Linked DNA regions of Stegostoma tigrinum. Each later gene encodes a partner of the first gene's protein in a complex. Links are inferred from orthologs where the notes say so. Each region holds a gene or a part of one and is shown on either strand. Other genes may lie near its edges.

The links.
Region 2: nup43 (region 1) and nup37 share a complex: the UniProt entries of both Homo sapiens proteins name them as parts of the nup107-160 subcomplex of the nuclear pore complex. The link is inferred for Stegostoma tigrinum from reciprocal best matches to the Homo sapiens genes NUP43 and NUP37.

The regions. Positions count from the first base shown.
Region 1 is NC_081357.1:93,683,560-93,699,699, reverse strand, and holds the start of nup43 (nucleoporin Nup43), read right to left. Parts: upstream 8,956-16,140; 5' UTR 8,870-8,955; coding exon 8,759-8,869; intron 4,416-8,758; coding exon 4,293-4,415; intron 2,166-4,292; coding exon 2,088-2,165; intron 1,779-2,087; coding exon 1,616-1,778; intron 1-1,615. Other genes in the region: E3 ubiquitin-protein ligase SHPRH, read left to right, coding at 13,237-13,845. UniProt on the Homo sapiens protein: Component of the Nup107-160 subcomplex of the nuclear pore complex (NPC). The Nup107-160 subcomplex is required for the assembly of a functional NPC.
Region 2 is NC_081371.1:60,072,252-60,088,301, forward strand, and holds the start of nup37 (nucleoporin Nup37), read right to left. Parts: upstream 8,106-16,050; 5' UTR 8,000-8,105; coding exon 7,838-7,999; intron 1,725-7,837; coding exon 1,600-1,724; intron 1-1,599. Other genes in the region: parpbp (PCNA-interacting partner), read left to right, coding at 14,965-15,114. UniProt on the Homo sapiens protein: Component of the Nup107-160 subcomplex of the nuclear pore complex (NPC). The Nup107-160 subcomplex is required for the assembly of a functional NPC.

The DNA.
Region 1 (16,140 bases):
ACAGCAGAATGGTAAAATCAATAAAATTGATAGAAGACAACATAAAAGTGAGTGAATAATAAAGTAATTAATTAAGACTCATTAAGAATGGCAATTCAGATGATATGTCAAGGCTGCAGCATGTGGGAGCTCCTGGATACCATAGTGATCCAGGGCAAACATGCCAGCAGTCAACATGCTTGAAGATCAAGCAGCTTTAGCTCATTGTTTGAGAGCTGGAAGCTAAAATACAGGCACTGTAATACATAAAGTGAACAGGGAATTTACCTAGATTCTTTGTACTGAGGTAATTGCACCACTTTGGGTAAGGTCAGTGGCGGGGGACAGGATGGTGTGTCTGTGCAAATGCAGATAAGGGGATGCAGAAGGCAGATGACAGGAGTGTCAGTATGTGCATCATCCATTAAGTTTGAGGTTCTATCACCCTATTTGGATGAAAGCACTGGGGAGCAGGGGTGGATCACCAAACTGACTGTATGCGAGGTCATTCACTTCGGGGGAACTAACAAGGACTGTTGTGCTAGTAGTTGTAGAAGGTAGAAAAATAGTATCAAAAAATCAGTTTATATAAAAATACGAACAGTGATTCGGTGTTAAAAAACCTGTTATGTATAACAGCGCTTCTGGATATATATTTAACAAATGAAAAATCAGATTGGCCTGAATGAGTTGTTCATAGAATGCTTTTGAAATAGGTTTTTAGTGCAGCATGTTCTGTGACCAGGTTATATGAGACTTCCTTTTGTGTAATGTGACAGGATTAATTCAACAACCTGAGAGTTATGGCACCTTAGATATCAGTGATCTGGTACTGTGCAATAATGTAGGATTAGCTAATGACCTTGTAGTGAAAGCATACCTCAGTAGCAGCTACCATTGGATTATTTGTTTTACATTCAATTTGATGGAGGTAAGGGTGGGTGCTAGACTAGGATTTTAAGTGAAGTTATGAGATGATGGCTAAAGTAGCCTAGCAACTTGGATTAAGCTACTGCCCATTGGAGATGCTAGTGACAGACATTTAAGGAGATATTCGGAACATACATAATAGACACATTCCAATGAGAAAGACAAAGTCCAAAGGGGGAACATGCCACATATGGTTAACTAAAAAACATTATGGACAGTATTAAACTCAACTACAAAACATAATAATGCAAATTTGAATGCTTATTTCCTCACTTGCTGAATCCACCCCTACACTACCTCTCCACAGCCACCTCAGACTCTATCTTTGTGCAGAGATAATACCATCCACCTCAGAACGTGGACCCTCCTACTCCAAATTCCTCTGCCTCTGTCCTTACCTTGTGTCTCTAGTCCTCCAAAGCGTCAAATTCACCTTCCCATTACGAAGCACCCACCATCCCATCCTAGCCACCCTTGCGGACCACCCTGCCAGGAGGTGGGAGAAACTTCATCTTGTTGCTGTTTAGCAGCCAACCTACACACATCTGAGCGCCACATCCTTCCAAAAATGTAACAGCAACACTTCAAAAGTATTTTACGGTCTGTACAGTGTTTTGGGTCATTTGAAGTTCCTGAAGGGTATTATATAAACTCAAGGTCTCTTTATCAAGAGTGTAAATTTTTTAAAAATTTCCTTTATACAAACCTATAGTCTGCACAGGTTCCTTTTGGTCAGCTTTGAAATGGTTAATCCGACCATCCTCCCCGACAGAGATGATCTCAGGACCATTACAGACCAGACTGGTACAGGGAGCAGTGCCATGGGAATAGTAGTGGGCACGTTCCCATTCCTGGAGGATTGAGAGTTTCTATGGCAGAGAATGGTGCAGAAAACACACAAAATGTAAGTGCATGAATTACACCAATGACACCAGCCACAGGGTCTAGTAGACCCAATATGCATCATTTTGAAGAATAAATTACATCCATTTTGAAACTGTAAAGGATGGGCTTTTTTTTCATTTCAGCAATTGATTATATTCTACAAAACATGGTAAAATCAATATCATGACATTTAATGATGTAGAACAGGAGAACATTGAACAAACTTTCTGACTGCATTAAATTTGCAATCATTTTGAGTACTAATGAAAAATTTCTATACATGATTTCTGTACCTGTTCCTTTTGATCATAACGGAATAAGATGACACTTCCTGTAGAAGAAGCGGTAATAATCTTTTCCTGATCCAGAAACTATAAAAGAATGCAAGTCATAATTAATCTTATTGCTAGTTGATTTAGGACTTGGAGGAACTTATGAAGGAAGAAAATTGAAAATAATGAGAGAAAAATGTTACAACAGAAAACTAGAAAGTGTGCAGTAGACAGCAGTTGTATGTAGACACAAATGTAACATACATATATAATCTAAGATGTACCCCATGTAATCGTTAGATCCTGTGTTTTGAAACTCTGTAGACATTGAGCATTCCTTATGTCTGGTCAAGTGTATCTACAGTTTAAATACCTCTGATTTGTAACAGTGAATCTACATTTTAAAAATAGTCTTTCATGGAATGTCGGTGTTTGTAGAAAAGGCCAGTTGTTGTTGCCCATCCCAAGACAAAATGATTCATCTTCTTTAACATCTGCTGTCAATCTGGTTTGACTTTTCTGCAGTGGTTTGATACGACTGAATGGGTAGCACAGCCATTTCAGAGTGCAGTTCAGAGTCAATAACATTGCCGTGTCTGGAGTCACACACACGCCAGATGAATAAGGATAACAGATTTCTTACTGATTTTTCTGACAATGGCTAAGAGTTTCATGGATAGCATCACTCAGATTAGGTTTCAGCTCCAGATTTATTAATTAATAGAATTTATTAATTAACTCAATTTACATTCTCCTACCTTTTGTGGTGGGATTTGAAGCAGCATTAGTCTCCACCTGGCCTTGCTGTTTCACTGCTTGTAGCAACCCTTATGAATTTTAACTGCTGGAATTCAAAGAGTTGTTCTACATGTATTGCATTTTGGCAATTTAATTTCAGCAATGTCCTGGCCCAGATTTATCACAGAGCTTGTTGTGCGGATCAAACAAAAACGAATGATGATAAAGAACAGTTTTCTGGACTTTTAAGAAAGGAAAGTTAGTTATTAATTTAACTAGAATCTGAAATTCAATTCAACAGATTTGGAAGCGTCTGTATGGAGGTAGGTGACAGTCATTTGGGCATCTTTGCTATCAGCTAATCCTCCAGTGCTCTTCATAAAATTAAACGCACTAACCTCGCCACACGTAAAGTTCACATTGTGTGGACGACTCTTCATTGTTTTTCGAGATGACCTTCTGGCCTACACCAAGAATTCAGCTTCAAAAAACTATCTAGGTCCAGGTCTGATGTGCCCACAAGAGTTGTGCTGAATGCTGTGGGCAGAGCTTGTTCTGGTGGATATGGAGGGTGCAGTAGCTTGGTCTGAAATTATGGCAACACTTAACTCTTTGCAGAGCTACATCACTATTCACAATCAAAATTATTTGCCTATGTCATATTTAACATAAGCAAACAAGTCTTTATGCAACCACTATGTCAAGTGTTTAGAGACTCCATTACTAGGATTTATTTGGAGTGGGGAGATGGAAGGAAGGTGGGTGGAAGCACTGGTTGGTACAATGAAGCTTTCCCAGAATGTTGCAGAGAACAGGGGAATTCGGTTGTGAGGAAAGACTGAGACTGTTATACTTGTATCATCTAAGTTTAGGTGGCCAAGGAAGTGTTTTTATAAAACCAATGAGAGATTTTGACAAAGCAGAGAAAAATGTCTCCAGTGAGTAGGCGAATAACTCGGGTGTGTAATTCAAAATCGGATATCTAGAGAGGCAATGAGGAGAAATGTTTTGGACTCAATTGTAAGGATTTTCTTGAAAACACAGTGGACACTGATTCATGAATAATTTCAAAAGGGTGTTGTTCAGGGATCAGACGACGAGGAACTTATTGAGATGACAGGGAAACATGCAGTGATGTTGGGTGAAGCACAATTTCTCCTTTGAAGAGTCAGGACAGACATAATGGGTCAAATGACCTCCTTGTGTATTGTGGATTTTTATGATTCTGAGAATAAACTAAAGCTAATAGTTCTGGGCCAGCTTGAACTTACTCGTGGTCCAAAAGGTGTGAACATTCATCTCGAAACCTACACAATTTCTTCAAAGAAAGTTTCACACAGGATATACCATGTGACTTAGAAAAAAATACCAATTACAAATAGATTATTGTAGCAGTATTTAAAATGGAATCTGTTTGGGGGTGGGAGAAGGAATATGAGTGAGGTGAGCTGTGCAGTCTTTTTAAAGCCACGCCAAAACTTCAGTTACCTGTAGATCCATAACGTCACCTTGGTGGGTGATTGAACACAAAGGCTTAGAGTCCTCCAAGAACAGTTGATCTGTATCAATGCTTTCAATATCAATTGTTTCCCATAGGCACACTTTGTTCTGCTGCATGGGAGAAAGAGCAAGAACCTGCACTTTAGAGATTACAAAAACAAGACCTGTGTCAATAACAACCCTCAACAATTTTGGGCCAAGCTGCTTAATCTGGACTGGCAATGTGGAACTGAACTGTAGAAACGATAAAAAATTTCAATAAACTTCAAGTGTGAGGCAAGAGATGAATGTATTAGAACAAAATAACGAATTATGGAATCTTATTCTGAGGAAGACACCAATCAGCCCATCATAACAATGCTGGTTCTTTGAAAGTGTTGTCCAGCTGGTCCCACTCTTCCTGCTCTTTCCTCATAGCCTTGCACACTTTGCCTTTCTCAATATCAATTCAATTGTCTTTGGTAAGTTACTACTAAGTTAAATCTATGCCACAACTTTTCAGGCAGTGCATTTCAGAACATGCTGCCCTGCATAAAATCAAACTCTCATTATCATTCTGTTTCTTTGATAAAAATCTTAAACCATGTCCTCAATTTACCAGCTATGCTATAACTGGAAACACTTTCTCTTATGTACTTTATCAGAATGTTGCATAATTTTGAACAACTCTACTCAATCTCCCTGTCATCCATTTTGCTCTAAGAACATCCCAGTTCCTGTGAATTCTCTACATACATGAAGGTTCTCAACCTTGATACCAGTCTAGAAAATCTCCTCTGTATCCACTCCAAGCTCTTCATTCATTCCCTAAGGTACAGCATCCAGATTGCGACACGACAGTCCAATGATTTATATTGTATGGAGAGAACAGAAAGGTAGTATTCGGACTAACACTTGGATGCCTCCGCTTGATTCACATGATTCTCCTCCTATGCTTCTTCATCCAATCTCACAACCTTTCTATTCCTTTCTTTCTCAAGAGATTATCCTTAACTATCCTTAAATGCATCTACATTAGTGACCTCAACCATTCCTTGCTATAGTAAATTTCATTCAGACATATCTCTGGGTAAATATGTTTCCTAGAACACACTGTTGGATTTAATAGTGACAATTTTACATTAGTGGCTTCTCGTTTTGGAATCCACCACAGGTGAAAAATACTTCTTCATCTGCATCTGCTCATCTACTCACAGTTTGTAAATCAAACCATGAAGAACCTGGAATATACGAACCTTCATGGATAACAAATGAAACAATTATCTACAACAAAGAACTTCCCCTATTGCTGTAAACTCTGGCAATTTAACATTAATATCACTGCTCTGCAGAAGTCCTGAAGGGAGCTGAGCAAAGGAGGATGAGGTACCCCTTCCTTTGGAGAGGAAAACTCTGAGGATCAACCCATGTCACATGCAATCGAGAATAAATCATCAACTGATTATTTTTGCTTCCTGTTGGCAACAATGATCATATCTCTGCATCTACAATTTGCCAAGAACCAGCAGACAATGGTCACGAGTGCCACTGCTCCAACCCTTGATGCTATAGATGAGTCCAAAGAAGGTTTCTATTCTACCCTTGTCATCAACATCTCTGAGGAAGATAAAATTATTGCTCATGGGGACTTGAATGCTCAAGTCAGAAAAGACACACAACTCTGGACAAGGAGTCGGGTATTGCAACTCTGAAAGGATTCACACTCAGCAAATGTACATCACCAATACATTTCTTGCTCCGAAAAGATAAATTCAAGAATTCTTGGAGGCATCCATAATCAATGCACTGGCACATAATTAATTATGTCATTGCTCAGCCCAGAGACCAAAAAGATTACCAAAGTGATGACCTAGTGCAGACAATTGATGGACAGACCACTGACTCCTCCCCTCCCCAATGTCCATCAAATGACACTAGAAACAGATGAAGGTGAAGAAACAGGAATAGATGGGATTCTAGTGGAGATTTTCAAAGTTGGAGGAGCAAAGCTTACCTGTCATCTCCATCAACTGTTTCTGAAAATCTGGACAAAGAAGAGATCCCTGCCAATTTCAGGGATGCTGCCATCGCCACTGTCCTCAAGAAAGGAGACAAAATGGTCTTGGGAACTACTGAGAAATCTCCCCTCATTCCATCACCAGGAAGATCATCACCTGAATCCTTATTAACTGCCTTCTCCCAGACTCAGAGGAAACTGTTCTGGAAAGCAGTGCGTTTTCTGACAGAAGTGTGGAACTGTCATCATGATTTTCACTGCTCGGAACTCCAAGAAACCACCAACCACTCTACGTGGATTTCATCAATCTGATCAAGACTTTTGACTCAGTCAGTTGGGAAGTGTTATGGAAGACCCTTGCAAAGGCTGACTGTCCAGTGAAATTCATCAACATCCTCCATCTCTAGCATAAGATAGTAGTGATGAGCCTCCGTCAGGAATATGACAGAATCTTTTGAGGTCATCTCAGGGGTCAAGCAGGGATATATCATCACCACTGCCCTTTTCTCCATCTTCATCACCAGAATTCTTCAGTTTCTTCAAGAACAAACTTCCTATTAATGTGAACATTGTCTCCAAGATGGATGGAAAACTCTTCAACCTTAATCAGTTGAAATCCAAGAAGAAAATGACATGGATATTACTTATTGAATATTAGTATACAAATGGCAATGTCATCTCCACTATCTCAGAACAGAATCTTCAAACCATGCTTAATGTCTTCAAGGAAGTACCTGAAGAATTAGTTTCAACCTTGAAGGCTCAAAGTTTTACCAAGCTCTCCTTGGTCAAGTTCAGTCCATCCCTCTATGAAGATTAATGAAGAAATCCTCCAAACTACTAAACATTTCCTTTATTTGTGAAGCTACCTCTCATCAATGGCTGATACCAATGCAGAGATGCAACATCACATTCAATCTACGAGTGCTGCTTTTGGACAACTAATGATGAGAGTATTCAATGTTTGTAACATCCGTGCTGATGCCAAAATCCTTGTGTATAAGGTAATCATTCTTCAGACTCTTCTACATAGCTCTGAAACTTGGATTATACATAAATGCCACCTTAAGATCCTTGAGAAGTACCATCCACATTGTTTGAGATGGATTCTCCTTATGATTCAGGATGGTAGGTGTACTAACATTAGCATTCCTTGAAACGTATAATACAACAGCTTCAAGGCTTCATCCAGAATCAATTCTGGTGGGCTGGCCGTATGCTTAGGATGTTTGAGTTCTGACTGTCAAAACAAATCTTCACCCAGCTCAAAGGAGGCACTCGAGCAAAAGGAGGACATAGGATGTGTTTTAAAGTCTCCTGAAAGCTTACATCAAGAATGGCAAGATAGATGTGAACACATAGGAAACCCTCATTCAGAAGAAACTGACTTGATGGAAACTCCTGTCGAAAGCCTGTGGATGGCATGGTGGCTCTGTGGTTAGCACTGTTGCCTCACAGTGCCAGGTTTGATTCCACCCTCACGTGACTGCCTATATGGAGTTTGCACACTCTCCCTGTGTCTGCGTATGTTTAGGCTTCCTGCCACAGTGTAAGATGTGCAGGTAAGGTGGATTGGCTGTGCTTAATTACCCAGAGTGTCCACAAGTGTGTCAATTAGGTGGATTAGTCATGGGAAATGCAGGGTTACAGGAAAAGGGAGGGGGATGGGACTGGATGGGATGCTCTTTGGAGAGTGGCTGTGGACTTGTTGGGCCAGATGGCCTATATCCACACTAATTCTATGAAGAGTCACAATTCTTTGAGAACACCCATCAGAAAAAGGGGGTATGGAAAAGGAACCTGAGAAATGCCAATGATCAGAAGGCCAAGGACCACTTCCACCTTCAGTAAACACCTAGCAAATATGTGGTCAGAAATGTTGGTCGAGAATCGGGCTCAGCCACGCAAATACCCACAGAACACATGATTAATGACCACAGAATGTCCTTGGTTGATCAGCATACTTGTTAGCAAGTAATTGTCCACGACTGTACTTCACTTGCAGCTTATATTAGTATTCTTATTGAAGTTCTGTATTTTGTCATTTACCCTCACTTCTCCACTGCCAAGTTTGGTGTCACGTGCAGGATTTTAAAGTGTACAGTATTTTCAACTCCTACTTCAAACTATTTGCAATATTGATATCCCAGGATGGGGAGCACCACTTCGATTTTTTTTTGCCAGTCTAATTAATTGCTGCGAACCACAGCTTTCTCCTCTCTTTTAAAACTAGCTTGGTTTCCATTCTTTTGATCTTTTTAAAAACATTTCGTGTATTTATAAAGAAGAGGATGCCGCATGCCTTTTATCCAGGTTGACTGCTGCCGGCGGACTTCTGTCTTTTCTCTTGGGGGGTCCCTACACCCACCGCCCTCGGTCCAATTCTGTTCCCCTCTCCTTCTCTCCCGGATGACCATGCTAACGTATTTGTCCTTCCCTCGGCTGCTGCTCTGCTCACCTCAGCATCCCAGGATCCGGTGGCGAAGCATTCAGGAAGCTGCAGACTGGAGCCGGATACCGGGAGCCAGCGGACCCGGCTGATCTTCTGTGAAACATAGCGAGCCTCCATGTCAACGGGGAAAGCCACGACCGCGGGCCGGCAACTTCCGAGTTAACACAGACAACTTCCTGGAAAATATCATCAACATCCGGGGGTCAGCCGTCCAGCTCTTCCGGCCCTGTTTATTGTTTCTGAACCGTTTATTATTTATTTGGAAACTTCAGGCTCTGGGGTTTAACTGTGAGTAGCATCGATTATCAGCGTTAGAGTGATTATAAAATCCACGATTGGTATCAGGGAGCGGATGTCTCAAACTGAGGGCACTGTCTGCCCTTTCATATAAAACCCTACCGTTCTATTTGCGCAAAGAACAGGGCGATTCGCCCCGGCCTGGTATTCATTCGTCAGTCAGTATCACCCGGAAAAGCTGATTGTCTGTCCCTGATCGCGTATCTTGTGAAACATTGAGACAACAGGGTGTAGAGCTGGATGAATACAGCAGGCCAAGCAGCATCAGAGGAGCAGGAAAGCTGACGTTTCGGGCCTAGACCGATATACCCCCATTCGGGCCTAGGCCTTCATTTCTGAATATGGATCTAGGCCCGAAACGTCAGCTTTCCAGCTCCTTTGATGCTGCTTGGCCTGCTGTGTGCATCCAGCTCTACACCTTGTTATGTCGGACGGGTCAAGGAGGTGGGGGGTGGAGCCGGTAAAGGTGAGTGTAGCTGGGGAGTTACGGTGGGGATTGGTCAGTCAAGGGAAGACGGACAGGTCTAGGAGGTGGAGGTGGGGGTGTGGGTTAAGGTGGGAGGAGTCGGTAGGTGGGAGAAAGGACAGACAGGTGAGGGAGGCGGAGACGAGCTGGGCTGTTGTTGGGATGCGGTCAGGCGAGGGGAGATTTTGAAGCTTGTGAAGTCCACATTGATACCATTGGGCTGCAGGTTTCCCAAGCGAAATATGAGGTGGCTGTTCCTGCAACCTTTGGTTGGCATCATTGTGGCACTGGAGGAGGCACCCTAACCTCACACTTATGTACTTACCGTCTCTCCGGAGCTTTTTAAAAGTGGCTGTCTGTGATGATTGCTGATGCTATGAAAAAGGAGTCACAGTTTACTTTCACCCCACAGCCTGCAAGATATGGACCTGCCAGAGTAAAAGTACAACACCACGTTAATGAAGGAGCCATGGTCAGAGTCTCCTGTCAGGAATACAGAGCTTTTTTGTTCTGTTTAAAAAGAAGGCGCAGAGTGGCAAATTATGTGTACTTCTGCTCCTCAGAAAATCTGACCAGAATGTGTTGGTGTGTCTGCAGGGTCACTGTGTGCAGCTCCCATGTGTGCTTCAGAAATAATTATCCGGCCAATGTTTCTAATCTAAAATGGTGATTTTTGTTTTCCTTTAGAAAAAATTGCTTCCAAAAATCTTGCACTTGTTTAGATGAGATTCCCTACAGTGTGGAAACAGGCCCTTCGCCCAACAAGTCCACACCGCCCCTTGCAGCATCCCACCCAGACCCATCCCCCTATAACCCACATACCCCTGAACGCTACAGGCAATTTAGCATGGCCAATCCACCTAGCCTGCAGATCTTTGGACTGTGGGAGGAAACCGGAGCACCCGGAGGAAACCCACGCAGACACTGGGAGAATGTGCAAACTCCGCCCAGACAGTCGCCCGAGGCTGAAATCGAAGCCGGATCCCTGGCTTGAATTTAACATAATGCTTTCTCTTCTGCGGCTTTAACTTTTAACAGAAGAAAATTGATGAATACATTTAGTGACCATGGTTTTCTCATATTCATCAATGTAATTCTCTCAGGGCAGTTGATAGACTGTACCTCTTCCTGCCATCTAACAGGACGTATGAGTTTCTTTGATTTTTTTTCCAACTAATTTCTAATATGTTGGAGAACAAATCTGTTTCAATTTAGATATGTTGGAACTAATGAAGGTGTTATTGTTACATAACTTACTAAGAACTATTTAACATGATAAGATAGAGAAAGTTTAAACTTATGATTGTTTAATCTCTAAAATACTTGGGATTAAAATGGTTTTTGATTCAAATGTTTATTTTGAGTACTAAATCCTCCTTGGTGTCTTATCCATGTTGTTCATTTGGACTGATTGGTTCAATGTTTAGTTTTTAAAGGAAGAGAGAATTTGAATCAGCAGAATGATGAATTGTGCAACACACTTGTTCAATTTTCTGCACAGTCAGGTAGATGCCAGTGTTGTAGCTGTACTGAAACAGCTTGGCAACAGGCGCAGCCAGCTCTGGAGCACAAATCTTCAGTACTGCTGCCGAAATGTTGTCACGGCCCATAGCCTTTGCAGTACCTCCAGCTGTTTCTTGATGTCCTATGAAGTGAATCTACTTAGCTGAAGACTGACATTTGTTACAGTGGTAACCTTTGGAGGAGCTGAAGATGGATCATCCAGTCAGCATCTCTGGCTGAAGATTGATGCAGATACTTCAGCCTTATCTTTTGCACTAGCGTGCTGAAGTCTGGTATTATGGAAGATAAGGAAATTTGTGGAGCTGCTTCCTCCGGTGAGATGTTTAATTGTCCACCACCATTCATGACTGAATGTGTCAGGAACGGACAGCTGAGATCTGATCGTTGGTTGTGGAATCTTCTGGAAAATTTAGCATAGCCAATCCAACTGACTTGCACATTGTTAGACTTGTAATTGCAGATTTTTTGATTTAATTCAAATTCCGTCATCTGCTGTAGTGGGATTTGGCACCGAATACATAGAACATTTGCATTGTCTCTGAATTATTAATGCAGCCACGATAAACTATACCATTATCTCCCCTAATGAGGTAAGATATGAGACTACCCACAACAGGATCACTGAGTATTATTTTAATAGTGAAAAGCTAGGAACAATGGAAGTTGAAAGTGATGTGGGGTCCATATATAAAGATAGTTAAAATGTCATCATCAGGAACAATAAATTATCAGAGCTGGAATACAAAGGTGATTTTGCTACAGCTATGCAAAGCCCTGATCTAGATCACATATAAGTACCGCATACAGTTCTCGACAGCACACCTTCAGTGGCCTAGAAAGGTGTGCAATGCAGAATATTCACCAGAATAATACCTTGGCTTCAAGGACTACATTATCGAGGAGGATTACTTAAGTTGGTCTTGTACTATCTTGAACATAGAAGGTTATGAGTGATTTGACTGAGGGTTTTAGGGTTTAGAAAGCAATTGCTAGGATAGAGAGGAAATGTTTTGAGTGGTAGGATGAGAGGATGTGGTCATAAAATTAGATACAGTCAATTCAGACCTGAAATTAGGAAACATTTATTCATGCATAGGGTGGTGGACCATACCATAACAATACATGTTAGTTCAATCAATGGCTATAAATCTGAAATTCAAAGATTTTTGATAGTCATGGTTATGAAGGATTATTGACCAAGGTCAATGGATGGAATTAAGATACAGATCAACCAACTTCACTAATTGACCAAGTCAAAAGTGTAACATGAATCCATTCTGGAGGGAGTACGATGAGCACAGAGGACTGAAAGAAATAGAAGGATCTACTGATTGGGTTATGTGAAGGTGGCTGGGGGGTGGGGCTTATGTGAAGCACAAAAATTGTCAAAGACTGGTTGGGCCAAATAACCTGTTTCTCTAATTTATATTTCATATAATTTGCTCAATGTTTTGATTTATTTTTGGAAGAAATGCATGAGCTGTGATGCTTCGTTAATTTGTGTCTTTTATATAAATGTTATGATTGATCTGGACCAGTTGCTTTTTCTGACAGTCATAATGTACTCTGTTTCTCATTTGTTTGTTTCCACGATATACATATATATTTTCCATTTGCTTAGCTTTAAACCATTTCCAACTAAATGTTTGTGAATTAATTAAGTTTTACAAAAGGCTACGACTGAACTAAATTGTTAAATGTAAGATACAATCTAAATATGCACATTTGGCAGTAAAAAAAATGACAAATACATGGCAGGTGAATAAATGTGAGGTCAAAAACAGGAAGACAGATTATTATCTGAAAGGCAATAGATTAGTAATGGGGAGGACCAGAGAAACCTTAGGAGATCACAGTGAAATCAGGAATCACTTCTTCACATGAAGAGTGGTGAAAATCTGGACATCTCTCCTCTATCATCCCCAATATAAAAGCAGTTTTCAGTAGAAAATTTCAAAATTGAGAATGATAAATGAGTGGGGATTTTAAGGGTTACAGAATCAAGGTTGGATTGAGATACAAATCCATGCTGATTTAGTTGAATAGCTCAATAACAAAATGAACGTCCTCGTCTTGTGTTGCATTCCTAACTGACTGTTCAGAGCAATAAATGCTTCATTCATCCTTTTTTACTAGGAGAATTTCATATTTTTATACTTTTTTGTTTGCAGCTGTGAACTTGCACTAAGCTGGTACAATGAGCAACAGAAGGAAGCGTGCAGCCCCGGTGCGAGTAGACGAAGAAACAAAAAAAAAGCTGAGCTGGAATATGTGTGATGACTTGAAGGATCTCCATGCACTTGATCGATCAAATGACTGTAATAATCCCTTAGCCTTGAGCTCAGGTCTCCCAGGATACAGAGAGACAACCCTTCTCCAGCCTAGCAGTTTGAAACAGGATGAGCCATTTAATATCTCAGCTGTGACTCAGGTCGAGGATGGAGAAAGTCATCTTTTGCCATTAAGTACCACCACCCAGATCAGTCTTTCTGTCTCCCCTGGCCACTTGGGTGAAGAGTGGCGAGCACTGCTGCACAGGTTTACAGTCCAACTTGCAACACGGCAAGCATTTCCAGAGGAACTGTGGTTTCTCAGCATAGGCTTGATGAAGACCAGTGCTGATGATCAGCTGCAAGTCTCAATCAAGAGGAAATGTGATGATTCTGAAAGGGATGACAACGAAGAATTCATAAGCTGTGTAAGAACTTCACTCACTTTTAAGATGCTGGAGGACCTAACATGGCTTCAGAAAAAGAATGTAATTGGATTGTTCCAAAACACAATTGAAGACTGTCAAACACTGAAGGTATTTAACTGTTTGAATAAAATGTTCTTTGTCTTGATCAATAGTCTTCTACCTAATTGGTTAAATCTTTACCCCCCCCCCCCCCCCACACACACACACACACACACACACACACACACACACAACCTCCCCTTCCTGTTTGCGATTTTCAGGTACCATCACTCAGCGAGCACCACTAAAGACTGTGGCAGGAATTTTTGAAATGGTAGGAGGACAATCTTTTTTTCCCCTCAGTGACGTCTGTTTTGCTCAATGTCCTCATCTTGAAAAAGCATCTGTCATGATCCTGATAAGAAAAGTTACTGATAGTCAAACCTCACTACTCCACAAGCTATATATGTGCCCCGTTTAGTTACTAAAATGGTTCATTGTCTACTTTGACTGTTACCTAAATTAAAAGAACTGGCGCTGGATTACATCAATAAACAAGAAAGCAAATTTTTTTTATTACTTAATTCTGTGCAAACTTAAACTATAACCACTTTAAACCCAAGCTCACACACATCCAGTCATAACTAGGAAAGTCAAAGCAGAAGTATCGTCCACAGAAAACATAGACAAAAAGGAACTACTTATCTGTGTCAAGAATCCAGATCACAAGTGGAATGAAGTGACACTTTGACAGTTACTTTGATTTTTGGCAGTGATATAATGCTGTTGTTTACCACAGAATGATAAGAGGTCCGTAATTCATTTGCAGGTCAGTTGAACTTAGGTCTTTGCTTGAGTTGGGAGCTTTTCTTTTCCAAATCTTCAAGTGTTTCTTTTTCCTTGCACAGGGTGAGAAAGGGAGAGACCTGTATTTGCTTGCAGGCTTTCTAGAGGCCTGAGTGCAGCTGTCATTTTCAAGTCCATGACTGGCTGCAACTTAAAAAATCCAAAAGCTGTTAGTGCATTGCTTTTTAAACTAAAGGCACCTGTGCTAGCTTGTTTCTCAAAAATATCAAACCTAGCTCCTCCAAAGGTTACATGACCTTCTGTAATTAATAAACGAACACCACATAATTCTAATTTGGGTCTTCAAGTTGCAAACAAACAACCCTGAGAAACACACCTTTTACATTGTCTTTAGCAAAGTGGTGTGTGAACTTCCATTTACTCTTACCTGTATTCCAAAACAAAATATAATCTTTACACATCCAAACAAAAAATTAATACAGAAAATGATGGTGAACCAAATTTAAAGCTCAAAAGTCAGATGTTGATGAGAGACACTCTTGTTTCTCTTTGGATGTACAAACTGGTTAACTTACATTGCATTATTCCCACTGATGGCCAACTGCATTGGGAAAAAATGTAAATTTCATTATTGTATCAGGCAATTAGATAGGCAACATTTTGAATATATTGGTTCTGCCAACTATTTTAAGTCATTCATAAAGTATTGATTTCTTAATCTCTGTTAATTTTGTGTAAAATCAGATCGTTGAGCCACCTCAGTCATCTTTTGAAACATTCAAAAGTGAGATATGTTAAAACTTCTACAGAACCCCTACTGATTGGTTTCTTCTATCATCGTCACCATCATCAATTACAGCATCAGCCAACAGCAGGAAGTATGCCCTCGCAAATAAGCAACTATGCTCCTTTGATGAAAATAGGATTTCAAGGAGTAAACCTATTCAGTGACGAAGTATTACGTAGAAATCTCTGGAAACTGATGGAGCAATTTATAATGTTTCTAATATCAACAGTACAGAATTAGTGGTGTGTCTAATTAACAATAAAGTGTAGCCCCGCACATACAACTATCCGTGCCAGGTTTGATATGCATTTATTCTGAAGCAAAACCTTGCTGCCTTTGCTCTAATTCACACCAAACTTACAATCCTCTGTTATCCCTTTGCTCACTGACTTACATTTAGCTTTCAGTTTGGCACCACGTTCATTTTTAAATTTTTAGTGTTTTCAAATCTCTCCATTGCCTTGCCACAGCCTATCTCTTATAAACTCTTCCAACTCCCCGACCTCTCTGCACTCTCTAATTCTAGCCTCTTGTACATATCCAGTTTTCATAGTTCCACCAGTCTTCAGCCTCCCTGAGGCTTTCCACCTATCCACCTTTCCTCAAAATCTCCCTCTTTGACTCAGCCTTTCTGTACCTGTCATAATAAATCTTCATGTATTAATGTTCCTGTGTAATGTCTTGCGATGTTTTACAACTGGAACTGATACACTGCCTCTAGAAAGCGAAGCTGATGCTTATGTATTATGTGAACCTTCACCCAAATTTGTTAATTCTAATTCCATTCACATATCATTCTGCCCCTTTCTCCTCTACTCACCTGGTCTGGT
Region 2 (16,050 bases), on another chromosome or scaffold:
ATGGACTTAATGGCCCAGCTTCGAAAAGCCCTTCGCAGTAAAGAATTTCATAGATTCACTATCCTCTGAGAGAAGAGATTTGTCCTCATCTGTCTTAAATGGGCAATTGCTTACTTTGACATTATGACCTCCTGTCCTAGACTCTCCCAAAAGGAGAAACAACCGTTCACATCTACCCTGTCAAGATCCCTCAGAATCTTATATGCTTCAACAAGGTTGCCTCTCATTATTCTAAACTCCAATGAGCACACATCCAATCTACTCAACCTCCCTTCATCAGACAGCCCCTCCAAACCTGGGATCAACCGAGTGAACATTCTCTGGACTGCCCGCGTTGCCAGTATATTTCCATGGGCAAGGGGCCTAAAACAGTTCACAGTATTCCAGTTATCACCTGAACAGGTCCTTTTCTTCTTTTAGCAAGGCTTTCCTATTTCTATGCTGTCCGTAATACCTGCTGAACTTAGACACTAACCTTTTGTGATTCATGGATGACGACTCCCAAAATCCTCAGTGCTGCAGCTTTCTGCAGTATTTGTACATTTAAATAATGATCAGTTCCTCTTTTCTTTCTGCCAAAGTATTCTTTATACACACCATGAGGGCAGGTGGGATTTCAGTTTGACATTTCATCCAAAGTCAACACCTCCAACACTGCTGCACTCCCTCAGTACTGCACAAGAGACGCCAGCCTAAGTCTCAAATCTCTGAAGTGGGACTGGGATACACAACATTCTGACTCAGAAACACATATGCAGCCACTAAGCCCTGGCCAATACACAAAGGATAATAAACCAACATGGTAGGTGAAAGTGTCTCTTAATTGGTAGTACAAATTCTAACTACACTTATCTTTGTTAATTGTGAAAAACAAACTGAAAAATCTTAAAAGTGCTTCTAATTTATAAGCTGAAAATAACGAATACATTCTAGTCTACAGCATTTTGTTTAACTTGTTGCTAACTGACATCAGCCGGCATTAACATAGCAACAAATGAGCACACTACTTATTGCACTAAATGTAATTTAAACCAATGCAATAAATACATTTTTCCAGAAGAAGGGTCCTGACCCGAAACATCAATTTTCCTGCTCCGCTAATGTTGCCTGGCCTCCACGGTGTTATTAATAAATAGTATGATACTTCTATCTATCAGTGAGGTAGTGTTTACATTCCAGAGACTTGTCATCCACAAGGTCAGAGGTAATAGCCTTAAGAATTGAAATCCCACCTTTGCAATTCTAATTTAGTTTAACCAAAATCTACAAAGTAAGATGTTGGTACTGGGAAAAGTAACCTTGACACAATGTTGGATTGTCATAAAAACCTATCAGGGCCTTTAGGTAATTAAATCTTCTATTTTTCCCCGGTGTGGACCTATTCCAGATCCACAACAAGATAGCTGGCTCTGGACTAGCCTCTGCAGTGGCCCGGACAGCCACTTAGTTGTGTTGAAACTGCTGCAAAGAATCACCGCACACACTGAATCAGGTCAAAAAGTGACAGATCCACCACCACCTTCTCAAAGACAAACAATGCCAGCCTTGCCAGCAACACCAAATTGCTAAAATGAATCAGAAAGTAACAGTATCTCCTACTGGATCAGTTGTGTCAGTGTGTCCATCTTAGTTTCTGGGCTCCACGCAATAGAATCCACCCGTATTCCTCGATGAAATGTCTGAAGTGTCTTGAATTCCATACCTTTAATTTCCGCATCTTCTTCCTAAAAAAGATTAGAATGGAATATTCATAATACTCACAAGCTGATACAGTCCCGAGTTGAGAGTGTCCTAGCCTATTAGTCAAAAGGTATTGGGTTCAGATGTTACCCTTGAACTGGGCCATTTCAAGGACAGCTAAGAGTTGACCATATCGCTGTGGGCCTGAAGTCACATGTAGGCCAGATCAGGTAAGGACCATAGATTTCCCTCCCTCAAGGACATGCGTGAATCAAATGGAGTTTTACCATATTAGACAATAGTTACATGGTCACCAATACTGAGATTAGTTTACAACCCAGATTTTATTAACAGAACTTAATTTCCACGACTACTGTGGCAGGATTTGAACCTGTGTCCCCAGAGCACGAACCTCAGCCCCTAGGTTACTAATCCAGTAACAACTTTGAAATATTCAGCCCATTAAGCCTACTCCACTGTTCAGTGAGGTCAAGACTGATTATTTATCTTCACAGCTTTCTCTTGTACTATTCCGATTTCCCTTGAAGTCATGAGTAGACATTGATAACCCTCTCGCTACTAATGTCTGCCTTCTTGGCAATGAAAGATCCCAAACTATTATTTTGAAGAAGTGAGCTAGGAGATTTCCCTGATGGGCACATTACTTTCTCAAGCAATACAATTTATAGTGAACAAATACAAACTATGCAATTACTGCCTCAGTATGGTTCGCAGGATCATCATATGCGCAAATTGGCTCTTACAGTTCTTATTTCACAAATATAGCCATAGATATCAAAAAAAGGGAGACAGTGGCATCATAGTAATGTCGTTTCTGTCCTTTAGGGAAGGAGGTCTGCAGCACTGGCCTGGCTTGGACACCGTGTGACTCTGTATCCATACAGTCAAAAAGACCTTTCAACCCATTGTGTCTGTTCCAGTCACCAAACGACCATCTATTCTAATTCAATTTTCCAATAGTTTAGCTTGTATGCTATGGTGTTTCAAGTGCTCATCTAGATACTTTTTAAATGCCTTGAGGGCTCCCATCTCCACCAGCCTTTTAGGTAGTGAGTTCACAGCATCCATCTCCCTGTGGGTCAAAATGATCTCCTGAAATCTTCTTCCACATCTCTTTCTAAACCTCCTGCTCCCTACATAGAACATATGTAGGGCCTTCGGCCCTCGATGTTGTGCTGACCTGTGAAACGAAGCTGAAGCCCATCTAACCTACACTATTCCATTATCATCCGTATGTTTATCCAATGACCATTTAAATGCCCTTAAACTTGGTGAGTCTACTACTGTTGCAGGCAGGGCATTCCACACCCTTACTACTCTCTGAGTAAAGAACCTACCTCTGACATCTGTCCAATATCTATCACCCCTCAACTTAAAGCTAAGTCCCCTTGTGCTAGCCATCACCATCCAAGGAAAAAGGTTTTCACTGTCCACCCTATCTAATCCTCTGATCATCTTGTATGTCTCTGTTAAGTCACCTCTTAACCTTCTTCTCTCTAACGAAATCAGCCTCAAGTCTGTCAGCCTTTCCTCATAACACCTTCCCTCCATACCAGGCAACATCCTGGTAAATCTCCTCTGCACCCTTTCCAATGCTTCCACATCCTTCCTATAATGCGGTGACCAGAACTGTATGCAATACTCCAAGTGCGGCTGCACCAGAGTTTTGTACAGCTGCAACATGACCTCACGGCTCCAAAACTCAATCCCGCTATCAATAAAATCCAACACACCGCACGCCTTCTTAACAACCCTATCAACCTGGGTGGCAACTTTCAGGGATCTATGTACATAGACACCGAGATCTCTCTGCTCATCCACGCTACCAAGAATCTTACCATTAGCCCAGTACCCCGTAGTCCTGTTACTCCTTCCAGAGTGAATCACCTCACACTTGTCTGCATTAAACTCCATTTGCTACCTCTCAGCCCATCTCTGCAGCTTATCTATGTCCCTCTGTAACCTGCAACATCCTTCTACACTATCCACAACTCCACTGACTTTAGTGTCATCTGCAAATTTACTAATCCATTCTTCTACGTCCTCATCCAGGTCATTTATAAAAATGACAAACAGCAGTGGCCCCAAAACAGATCCTTGCAGTACACCACTAGTAACTGAACTCCAGGATGAACATTTCCCATCAACCATCACCCTCCGTCTTCTTCCAACAAGCCAATTTTTGATCCAAACCACTAAATCACACTCAATCCCATGCCTCCGTATTTTATGCAATAGTCTACCGTGGGGAACCTTATCAAATGCTTTAATAAAATCCATATACACCACATCAACCGCTTTACCCTCATCCACCTGTTTGGTCACCTTCTCAAAGAACTCAATAAGGTTTGTGAGGCATTACCTACCCTTCACAAAACTGTGTTGACTATCCCTAATCAAATTATTCTTTTCTAGATGATTATAAATCTTATCTCTTATAATCCTCTCCAACACTTTACCCACAACCGAAGTAAGGCTCACTGGTCTGTAATTACCAGGATTGTCCCTCCTTCCCTTCTTGAACAAGGGGCCAACATTTGCTATCCTCCAGTCTTCTGGCACTATTCCTGAAGGTAATGACAACATCAAGATCAAAGCCAAGGGCTCTGCAACCTCCTCCCTAGCTTCCCATAGAATCCTAGGATACATCCCATCCAGCCCAGCGGACTTATCTATTTTCACACATTCCAGAATTGCTAACACCTCCTCCTTGTGAACCTCAATGCCATCTAGTCTAATAGCCTGTATCTCAGTATTCTCCTCCCTGTCTTAAAACTGTGAGCCCTGGTAATTGATGCTTCTATTAAAGGGAACTATTTCCACTTATCTACCCTGTCTAAGCCTCCTTAAGTAACCTCAATCAGGTTACCCCCAGCCTTCTCTGCTCTAAGGAAAACAACTTCAGCCTATCCAAAACAAAAACCAAAAGAACTGCGGATGCTGTAAATCAGGAACAAAAATAAAGTTGCTGAAAAAGCTCAGCGGGTCTGGCAACACAAGTGGAGAAGAAAACAGAGTTAACATTTCGGGTCCAGTGATCCTTCCTCAGAATTGATAGTGGCTGGGAAAATGTCAGTTTATATGCAAAAAATAGGGAGGTGGGTGGGGTAGGGAGTAAACGATATGATAGAGCCCAAAGAGATAGAAAGACAGTGGGACAGACAAGAAGTTGCTAACAATCAGGCTGGGAGGGTGAATAGTTGTAAATGGGCACTGTTAGTGATTAACAACAGGGGGTGTGTAATGGCAGGCTATGTGGTAACAAGGCCTGGTGTGTGGGTGAGGGCTGGGACATGGGAGAGTTTAGGCCCTAAAATTATTCAACTCAATATCGAGCCCAGAGGACTGTAGGGTCCCCAAGCGGAAAATGAGGTGTTGTTCCTCCAGCTTGCACTGGGCTTCACTAGAACAATGTAGCAAGCAGAGACGGAGACATAGACCAGGGAGCAGGATGGTGCATTGAACTGGCAGGCATCAGGTAGTTCAGGGTCTTTTTTGCAGGCAGGTTCTAGATGTTCTGCAAAGCGGTCGCCAAGTCTACACTTTGTTTCCCCAATGTAGAGGAGACCACATTGTGAGCAGCCAGTGCAGTAGACTAGATTCTGGGAAGTGCAGGTGAAGTGTTGCATCACCTGGAAGGTATGTTTGGGCCCCTGGATACTGGGGAGGGAGGAGGTTAATATGCAGGTGTTGAACCTTGGCCAGTTACAGGGGAAGGTGCCGTGGCAGTGTGGGGAGGTGTTGGGAGTGAAGCTAGTGTGAATGAGGGAATCCCAGAGGGAATGGTCCCTGCGGAAGGCTGACAAGGGAGGGGAGGGGAATATGTGTTTGGAGGTGGCAGAAATGGCGTCTGATGATCTGGATGTGGATGCTGGTGGGGTGATCAGTGAGGATTTGGGGAACCCTATCGCTGTTGCGGGAGGGAACAGAAGGGGTGAGGCGGAAGTGCGGGAGATGGGTGAGACCCAATTGAGGGCCCTGTCGACAACGGAGCTGGGGAATCCTCGGGCGAGGAAGAATGTGGACATTTCAGAGGCTCCCTTGTGAAAGTGCGCCTCATCTGAACATATGCGACAGAGACGGAAGAACTGAGGCTCCCTTGTGAAAGTTCACCTCATCTGAACATATGCGACGGAGATGGAGGAACTGATTTCTAGAGGACCGAGGATTCCCCAGCTCCATTGTCGACAGGGCCCTCAGTCGAGTCTGACCTATCTCCGCACTTCTGTCCTCACCCCTTCTGTTCCCCCTCGCAACAGCGATAGGGTTCCCCTTATCCTCACCTACCATCCCACCAGCATCCACATCCAGAAGATCATCAGATGCCATTTCTGCCACCTCCAGCCAGGTGCCACCACCAGAAGCATATTCCCCTCCCCTCCCCTCCCTTGACCGCCTTCTGCAGGGACCATTCCCTCTTGGGACACCCTGATTCACACGTCCTTCACCCCCAACACCTCTCCACACTTCCAAGGCACCTTCCCCTGTCACCAGCGAAGGTGCAACACTTACCCGTTTACCTCCTCCCTCCCCAGTATCCAAGGGCCCAAACATACCTTTTGGGTGAAGTAACACTTCACCTGCACTTCCAAGAATCGAGTCTACTGCACTCACTGCTCACAATGTGGTCTCCTCTCCCCAGTGTGGGGAAATGAAGCGCAGACTTGGCGACCGCTTTGTAGAACATCTATGTTCTGCTCGCAAAAAAGACCCTGAAGTTGCCTGCCACTTCAATGCACCATCCTGCTCTCTGGCCAACATCTCTGTCTCCGGCTTGCTACAGTGTTTCAGTGAAGCCCAGCTCATGCTGGAGGAACAACACCTCATTTTCTGCTTGGGGACCCTACAGCTCTCCAGACTCAATATTGATTGAATAATTTTAGGGCCTAAACTCCCCCATGTCCCAACCCCCCCACCCCACACACCAGGCCTTGTTACCACATAGCCTGCCATTACACACCCCCTGTTGTTAGTCACTAACAATCCCCATTAGCAACTATTCACCCACCCAGCCTGATCGTCAGCAACTCCTTTGTCTGTCCAACTGTCTTCCTCTCTCTTTGGGGTCTATCTTATCGGTTACTCCCTACCCCACCTACCTCCCCATTTTCTGCAAATAAACTGACATTTTCCCAGCCACCATCAGTTCTCAGGAAGGATCATCGGACCCAAAACGTTTTCTCCTCCACAGATGCTGCCAGACCCGGTGAGCTTTTCCAGCAACTTTGTTTTTGTTCAGCCTGATTTTATAGCTGAATCCTTCCAGCCCAGGCAAATCTTGGTGAATACCCTCTACACCCTCTCTAGTGCAAGCACATCTTTCCTATAAGGTGGTGCACACAGTACTCCAGCTGTGGCCTGATCTTACGTACAGCACCATCATAATCTCCCTGTTGTTGTATTCAATGCTTTGACTAATAAAGGCAAGCATAGAAATGTGGTTGGCTCTTAACTGCCCTCTGTAAGCCACCCAGTTCCAGGGAGGACCAATAAATCCAGAAAATCCCGGAAATGAAAATAAACCCATTCATTGCTTGTAAGGTGCCTAGGGAGTACTGCACCCACGCTATGTTTTGATCAGCTCAATTGTTGTTCGGTGGCCCTTGCTCTGCATACAGCATCACAAAACTCAGTTGAAGGTAAAAACCCCAAAGAACTGTGGATGCTGGAAATCAGAAACTGATGGAGGGGGAAAAAACACTCAGCAGATCTGGCAGCATCTGTGGAGAACGCAGAATTAACGTTTCTCGTTCACTGGCCCATCTTCAGAATTGATTTTAAGCTAGGAAAAGGTTTATAAAAATGCTGAAGATAGGGTGGGGGTAGAAGTAAACGATACGTGGAGAGGGAACCCAGGCAGAGAGAAAAAAACATACTTGGGCAGACAAATGAATACAGGTCGGCCTCGAAAAATCAACAGCTAAACAAGAAAAAAGATTAGAATGGAAATCCTGTGGGAGAGAGGAGCAGATCTTCTTCAAGATGAGCATACCTCAAAGAGATGTTTCAGTGCAGCTTTGTTTCTGTGGCACTAGATGGGTTCCGACCTACTTCTCTTCCTTATCCCTTCCTCACCACCTCCCTGTCCCCAAAACAGTCACACGTTCCCAGAAAAGAACCTGCCAGGACAGCCCACCTGAAAGCGGCAGCTCCCCACCACGATGTAGTTGTCGCCTCCGTAGGCGACCAGGCTGCCAGTGCCGCAGTCCTCGAAAGGGTTAAACTCCACCACGTGCACTGTCTCGTCGGTTGGCACCGTGTGCGTGGCGCCCCGCGATGCCGCCTCGTTCACCATCATCGTCGTCTCCGCTTTCCAGTCCCGGAACCCGGGGAGATTGGAGGGAATCCCCGATGGAAAGCTCAGACTCGCCAGGAAAACCCTCAATGGAACGTTCAGACACAACCCCTCGTCGCTGATTGGCTGCCTCCGCTTCGCTTCCGGGAGGAAAGTGCAACATTGTAACGGCAACGCTCTGATTGGTTACAGCTGCTCCGGCCCGGGACTTTTAAATTGGCCTGGAGTTGGGTGTGGGTGAAAAGTCCGTGTGGGATCTATCTTTACCCTTAAGTTGGGAAGAGAGGGATGTAGAGTGAGGCGTTGTGTTAGTGCTGACTTCAGGCAGGGCTGGTTGGTGAGTGAGACAGAGCCAGTGAGAGCTTGGGCACTGTCGTTGGAGATTGGGAGCTGGTCTGCGCAAGTGACAGTTGGTGAGTACAAGAACTGAGGAGTCGCTCGCTTTCAACGGCGAGCCTCAAATTGCCTGAACCATGCTATTGAGCTGGAGACAATAGCAAAATGCTCGCGTTTGCCTCCTTATTACGAGAATTCCAGTGTATTGAACCGAGAACTTGTCTGCCTATATATGCTGAATGAAGTATTTTTAAACACTACTGATACTGACGGGTGTTTTTTTTTGTGTCTCGCGGGAAAGGTATTGGTTAGTGCATAACATGAAGGTTTTTTCTATTCACTTGTGGAATGTGGGCACTGCTGGCCAGCATTTCTTGCCCATCCCTAGTTGCCCTTTGAGAAGGTGGGGGTGATTTTTGCCTTCTTGAACTGCTGGGGGCATTTAAGAGTTAAGAGTCAACCACACTTCTATGCTTGCCTTTTAGTCAAAGCATTGAATACAACAGGGGGTTGACCCTCTGGGAGGGCATTCCAGCATTTTTGACCTAGTGACAAAGAAGGAACAATGATATTTCCAAGTCAGGCTGGTGAGTGACTTAGTGGTGGTGTTCATATAGAAACTTTGTTCAGTGTGCAAACAGGCCCTTTTGGCCCAACAAATCCCCACCCACACTCTCAGCATCCCACTCATTCTTCCTATAACCCACATCCCTGAACACTATATGTGCTATTTAGTGTGGCCAATCCACCTAGCCTGCAACACTTTGGATAGTGGGAGGAAACTGGAGTGCATGGAAACCCATGCAAACATGGGGGGGAAAAATGTGTCAACTCAACACACTGCCTGAGAGTGGAATTGAACTAGGCCCTTGGTGCTCTGAGGCAGCAGTGCTAACCTCTGAGCCACCATGCTGCCCTGAGTCATAGTCAAATTTATATAAAATAGAAATAGACCCATCAGTCCAACTTGTACATTCTGTCCAAATATCCTAAACCTAGTCCTGTTTGTCAGCATTTGACCCAGGCCCATGTATCTGATGCCCTTGCCCTTCTGGGTGGAAGTGGTTGTGGATTTAGAATGTACTGTCTGAGGTTATATGGTTACTTTCTCAGGCTGTTTGTAATAACCTGGAGAAGTTTTAATGGAATAAATTCAGTCTTGGGTGGGTTTTAATTGGGGGTGGGGAGAAAAACTGTTGCTGACCCTTTAGTTATTGGTTGCCATTAAGTTCTGAACTCCAAATCCATCTAGGAACCTGATGGAGGACCCTGACCCAAGAAGTTGACTTTCTTGCTCCTCTGCTTGACTTGCTGTGTTCCTACAGCCTGAAACTGTGTAAGCTTTGAGTCCACCTGATTTGTTTTCTCCCCCCCCCCCCCCCCACCCCCCCAAGCTAGTGACATGGCCTCTTATGTATGATATATCTCCTTACACAACCCTGGACACTTAGGTGGATTGGCCATGCCAAATTACCCCAACTGTATACATAGAACAGTACAGCACAGAACAGGCCCTTCAGCCCACAATGTTGTGCTGACCAGTGATCCTCATGTATGCACTCTCAAATTTCTGTGACCATATACATGTCCAGCAGTCTCTTAAATGACCCCAATGACCTTGCTTCCACAACTGCTGGCAACGCATTCCATGCTCTCTCAACTCTCTGCGTAAAGAACCTGCCTCTGACATCCCCTCTATACTTTCCACCAACCAGCTTAAAACTATGACCCTTCGTGCTAGCCATTTCTGCCCTGGGAAATAGTCTCTGGCTATCAACTCTATCTATGCCTCTCATTATCTTGTATACCTCAATTAGGTCCCCTCTCCTCCTCCTCTTCTCCAATGAAAAGAGACCAAGCTCAGTCAACCCCTCTTCATAAGATAAGCCCTCCAGTCCAGGCAGCATCCTGGTAAACCTCCTCTGAACCCTCTCCAAAGCATCCACATCTTTCCTATAATAGGGTACCCAGAACTGGACGCAGTATTCCAAGTGCGGTCTAACCAAAGTTTTATAGAGCTGCAACAAGATCTCACGACTCTTAAACTCAATCCCCCTGTTAATGAAAGCCAAAACACCATATGCTTTCTTAACAACCCTGTCCACTTGGGTGGCCATTTTAAGGGATCTATGTATCTGCACACCAAGATCCCTCTGTTCCTCCACGCTGCCAAGAATCCTATCCTTAATCCTGTACTCAGCTTTCAAATTCGACCTTCCAAAATGCATCACCTCGCATTTATCCAGGTTGAACTCCATCTGCCACCTCTCAGCCCATCTCTGCATCCTGTCAATGTCCCGCTGCAGCCTACAACCGCCCTCTACACTGTCAATGACACCTCCGACCTTTGTCGTCTGCAAACTTGCTGACCCATCCTTCAATCCCCTCGTCCAAGTCAGTAATAAAAATTACAAACAGTAGAGGCCCAAGGACAGAGCCCTGTGGAACTCCACTCACCACTGACTTCCAGGCAGAATATTTTCCTTCTACTATCACTCGCTGTCTTCTGTTGGCCAGCCAATTCTGTATCCAGGCAGCTAAGTTCCCCTGTATCCCATTCCTCCTGACCTTCTGAATGAGCCTACCATGGGGAACCTTATCAAATGCCTTACTGAAGTCCATATACACCACATCCACAGCTTGACCCTCATCAACTTTTCTAGTCACATCCTCCAAAAACTGTAAGGCATGACCTACCCCTCTCAAAGCCGTGTTGACTGTACTTGATCAAGCCATGCTCTTCCAGATGGTCATAAGTCTTATCCCTCAGAATCCTTTCTAACACCTTGCAGACGACAGACGTGAGACTTACCGGTCTATAATTGCCGGGGATTTCCCTATTTCCTTTCTTGAAGAGAGGAATTACATTTGCCTCTCTCCAGTCCTCAGGTACGACTCCCGTGGAGAGCGAGGATGCAAAGATCTTCGCAAGTGGCGAAGCAATTGCATTTCTCGCTTCCCAAAGCAGCCGAGGAGAAATCTGATCCGGGCCTAGCGACTTGTCAATCTTAATGTTTGACAAAATTTTCAGCACATCAGCTTCGTCTATCTCTATCCATTCCAGCATGCACGCCTGCTCTTCAAAGGTTTCATTCACTACCTTTTGGGCTATGGGAGGAAACCTGCACAGACACAGGGACAATGTACAAACTCCATACAGAGAGTCACCTGAGGCTAGAATTGAACCTGGGACCCTGGCACAGTTAGCAGCTGTGCTGCTCAAAAGAGGGCACTGATACTTTTAGCTTAGTACAAGCTCTCTGTTTATCAATTTAGTGCCACTCTTCCTGCTCCCAGTCACTGAAAATGACTAGTCAGTGGCTGGGCCAGCCCTTCAGAACTACTTCAAGCACTGAGATGCTGCCTTAGAGCTGTGGTTACGCATGCTGTGGATATCTAGAATTTTGACCCAGCCATGCAGAATGGAGGGTGATAATAGAAGGTGGCATGTAGTTTGAAGTAGAACACAAGGGATTAGATGCCTGATGACTGGCTGGAAGACAATCCCATGATGTAAAATTCTGATTTACAGGCAAGGGTTTCCCCAAGCATCTGTTGCTGATGTTCTAAATAGTTGAGGTCATGAGTTTTGGAGAGTGTAGCAGGGCCTTGTTGATTTGCTACTGTGGGTTGGTGCTGGTATATAATCTAAACTTTTTTGAAAGCTATTGAATCTACTTCAATCCTGCTCTATTTTGTGGATAAGTCACTTTAGTGACCAAATTACAAAATTGATAAAATGTCTCCAGGAATGGTGTATATGGAAATGGTTAGATTTAATTTTTTTTAATAAAATGCAAAAGGGTGGAGACTGGGACTAGACATCTGGCCAGGCATTCTGCTGTCCTTTAATCACTCCAAGGGATGGATTGAAGTAGCACTGGCCTTTATAGTTTCCCATTTATCCAAACTCTGCCAAATCATATGCCATTTCCCTTGGACATGCTTTAAACTGGTCTCATACTGCATAGTGACAATAAGATATAGTTGCAGAATTAGGCCATTCAGTCCATTGCATCTGCTCTGCCTTTGATCCTAACTTGTGTTTCTCAGTCCCAATCTCCTGCCTTCTCCCTGTAACCATTGACCACCTTACTAATCAAGATCTTGGCTTAAAGGCACCTGATAATTTGGCCTCCAGTCTTCTGCGGGAATGAGTTTCATGAGTTGCTACCTCCAGGCTGAAGGAACTCCTCCTCATCTCAGTTCTAAAGGGTTGGCCCTTTGCTCTGAAACTGTCCCTGAGGTCCTAGTCTCTACTCTTGGAAATGTCTACTCTATTCAGACCTCTCTATATTCTACAAGGTTCAGTGACATTCCCATGCAGGATCCTAGAGGTAATTTCCTAAACTTCTCTGGAAGTGCCATAATGTTAAGATTTGTAACTCTGGTTGAGGCTCTGGATGTGAGTTTGCTCACTGAGCTGGAAGGTAAGTTTTCAGATGTTTTGTTACCCAGAATGGTGACATCAGTGCTGGTGTTATGTCCCACTTTCTATTTATCTGTTTAGGTTTCCTTGGGTTGGTGATGTCATTTCCTGTTTTATCCCAAGAGGATGGTAGATTGACTTGGAGCCAATGTGTTTGTTGATGGAGTTCTGGTTGGAATGCCATCCTTCTAGGAATTCTCATGTGTCTGTTTGGCTTGTCCTAGGATGGATGTGTAGTCCCATTTTCTTGGTCCCTCCAGAAAGCGGACAAGGGTGGTGATGGAAAAATGGGACAACACATCCATCCTAGGACAAGCCAAACAGACATGCACGAGAATTCCTAGAAGCATGACATTCCAACCAGAGCTCCATCAACAAACACATTGATTTGGAGCCAATCTACCATCCTCTTGGGGATAAAACAGGAAATGACATCACCAACCCAAGGAAACCTAAACAGATAAATAGTGGGACATAACACCAGTGCTTCATTGGAGGCTCACTGTTACCTAGAATGGTGACAAAACATCTGAAAACTAGCCTTCCAGCTCAGTGAGCAAACTCACATCCAGTGCTATAATGACATTGACTGACTGCTGTGGTTCAAGGAGGGTCGCCAGGAATGTTTTGCTGTGATCTCTAGTGTTATATAAATGCTGCAGCATTTATGAGCTGACTCTCTGGTAGGAAAATAGGTTCCTAGTGCCAAACTTGGCTCAGTTCTTTAACTTCAATGTCTTTTGTCCCTTTGTTCACTTAATATGGCATTGACAGGATGATTTGATGAAAGCTGACTGAGAAGAGGATGGAATTGTCCTATAATTGACCATGCTGGATAGCAGAGATTAACTAAAACACTGTTCGTTTGCAGGATCTGGCCATCAGAGTATTCGAGTGGTCATAAATTCACTTTGGACTGCAATCATTTCAGAGTGCACAAATAGTCAATCGCATTGCTTTTGGTCTGGAGTCACATAGGTTGGATTAAGGATACCAGGCTTCCTTCTCTAAGAACATTAGTGACTCAGATGGGAGTCTAGAAATCTATTAGTCAATGAGAATAGCATTTTAAAAATGCATCCTTTTATCAATAAAGATACTAATTAAAAGTAGTAGGACAGTAGCCCACACCCCACATTGAATTAATTAAATTGGCAGTATTATTTGGCTGTGTTGGAATCTGAACTCTCATCTCATCTCTGGATCATGAATTGTGACATCTTGGTTTCTAGCTTGATATCCTATGCACTACAGATTCAACAAATGTTCTGAAGGGATGCACAAACCAAAAGGACAACTAGCAGTGTAAGACTTAGTGGATTGCCCTTTCAAAATTGCCAGGCAATGCATGATGCTCAATAGTCTCCTCCCTCTATGCTGTAGTCTCATTCCATATGATCAAGTTTTTATTAGAATTAACTTCTGGCAAATGTCACACTTGCTTTGCAGAACTCTTTCCCTGTTTGCATTTTGTTGGTTTACTATCCAACTAGGTTTGACACCATGGGATGTCTGCCAGCAATGTACAGTATTACAAGGCTGGAATTTAACTTGAACTTTCTGCAAGGGTTGCATTAATTCCTATTATGTCTGTGGCTTCAGACTAATCGACTGTGACCAATGCAACTGGAGTTAAGCTAGTGTTGTGTAATAGTGTTTTTTACTTTATGCTGAAGAAAAGGAGAATTTAACTGATCTTGTGTGCATCAGTTACTTAATATCTTCAGCTTACACTTATGTAGCATTTTAATGCAGTTATTGTTTCCTTTTTGCCCATGTCTAATAAGTCATGTGCGGCTTTCCCACTAGTTAAGCGCAGATTCTGGCTCTTTTCATTGGTTGTTCTAAAGTCTCTTGTTAAAGAATTTGTACAGTAAGAACTAAATGTTCTGAGTAAAATACTCCTCCAACAAACTCCTGTGATATGCCTGTCACGACTCTGACCACAAAACCCACTACTGACTTTTGGTAAAACATCTACATTTAATTGGCTTTGGAAAAGCCAATGTCCAATCCTTACCCAGCCTGGCCTACATGTGGCTGACTCAGAACTGCCTCTGGGGAAGGTAGGGATGGATAATAAGTACTGATCTGGTGAGCAATTCCCCCAAATCATGAGAGTTTAAGATGTTCTGGAGCTTATTTTTAATTCAGTGTCCATAAATGCTTGTATAATTATCATGGTGTTTGTTCACTCAGAGACATGGATTCCCTCCAACAGAAAGTATTACAGTTGATAAGGAGATTCCGGAAAGGATGGTGCCAGCTTCTGGAGCATGAAAGAACTACTGTCTGTGGTGCTGATAATATGCTTATGGTTTTGCAGCTTGCTATGGCTGAAATGAATAAAGAGGTGAGTTGACATCATCAGTAGACTAGAATGAGAATAGAGGAGGCCATTCAACCCCCTCCATCAATGAGGCTTTGCTTGATCTGGGTCTGGAATGCCACCTATCCACCTGGTCTTTATAGCCTTTTTGGAATCATGGCCTGAAACAGTGTCCCACTCTGATTCAGAAGTATTGATTCAACTGGGTACATCTTACTTTTGATAAGAGTTCCACACTTCTACCACAGCAAAGATGTATCTCCTATTCAGTGGCATGGTGGTCATGTCACTGGACTCTTATTCCAAAGGCCTGGAATAACATTGCTGAGCATATGGATTCAAATAACAAGAGCTGCTGGTGAAATTTTGATGCATATCCTAGCATGGGAATGCTGGATGGAGTAAAAGCAACCAGAACAAGAGGGCATAGATTTAGTGATGTGAAGAAAAAGCATTTTCACGCAGCAAATAGTTATGGACTAGACTGGAATGCACTGCCTAGAAATGTGGTGGCAGCAATTCAATTGAATCATTCAAGAGGACTTTGAATGGCTTTTTGGGTAAAATGGTGTGCATGGATTTGGAGACAGGGCAGGAAATTGGCTCTATATAATAGAGCTGATGCAGTCACAAGGGGTCAAATGGCCTCTCTGCCATAATAGTTCTGTGATTCTAAATTTCCCACGGTCAGATTTGAAAGCAGAGTCTCAGACTCTCCAAGCAGTAGACAAAAATTCCTGATTTCTAATCAACTCCTCTTTAAAGTCCTAAAATATCAATGTAGTCACCCTTCTATATTCCATGAATGATTGATTGTTTGAGATTGGCAGAGACTCGTGTTGAGGTGGTGGATGAGTGACTTGCATTGAAACTGTTGCACTTAGCATGGTGAAATAGCTTAAACTTGGCATAGGGAATATGTTGAATGAATTGTTGAGAGAAGTAGATAATGAGTCAACC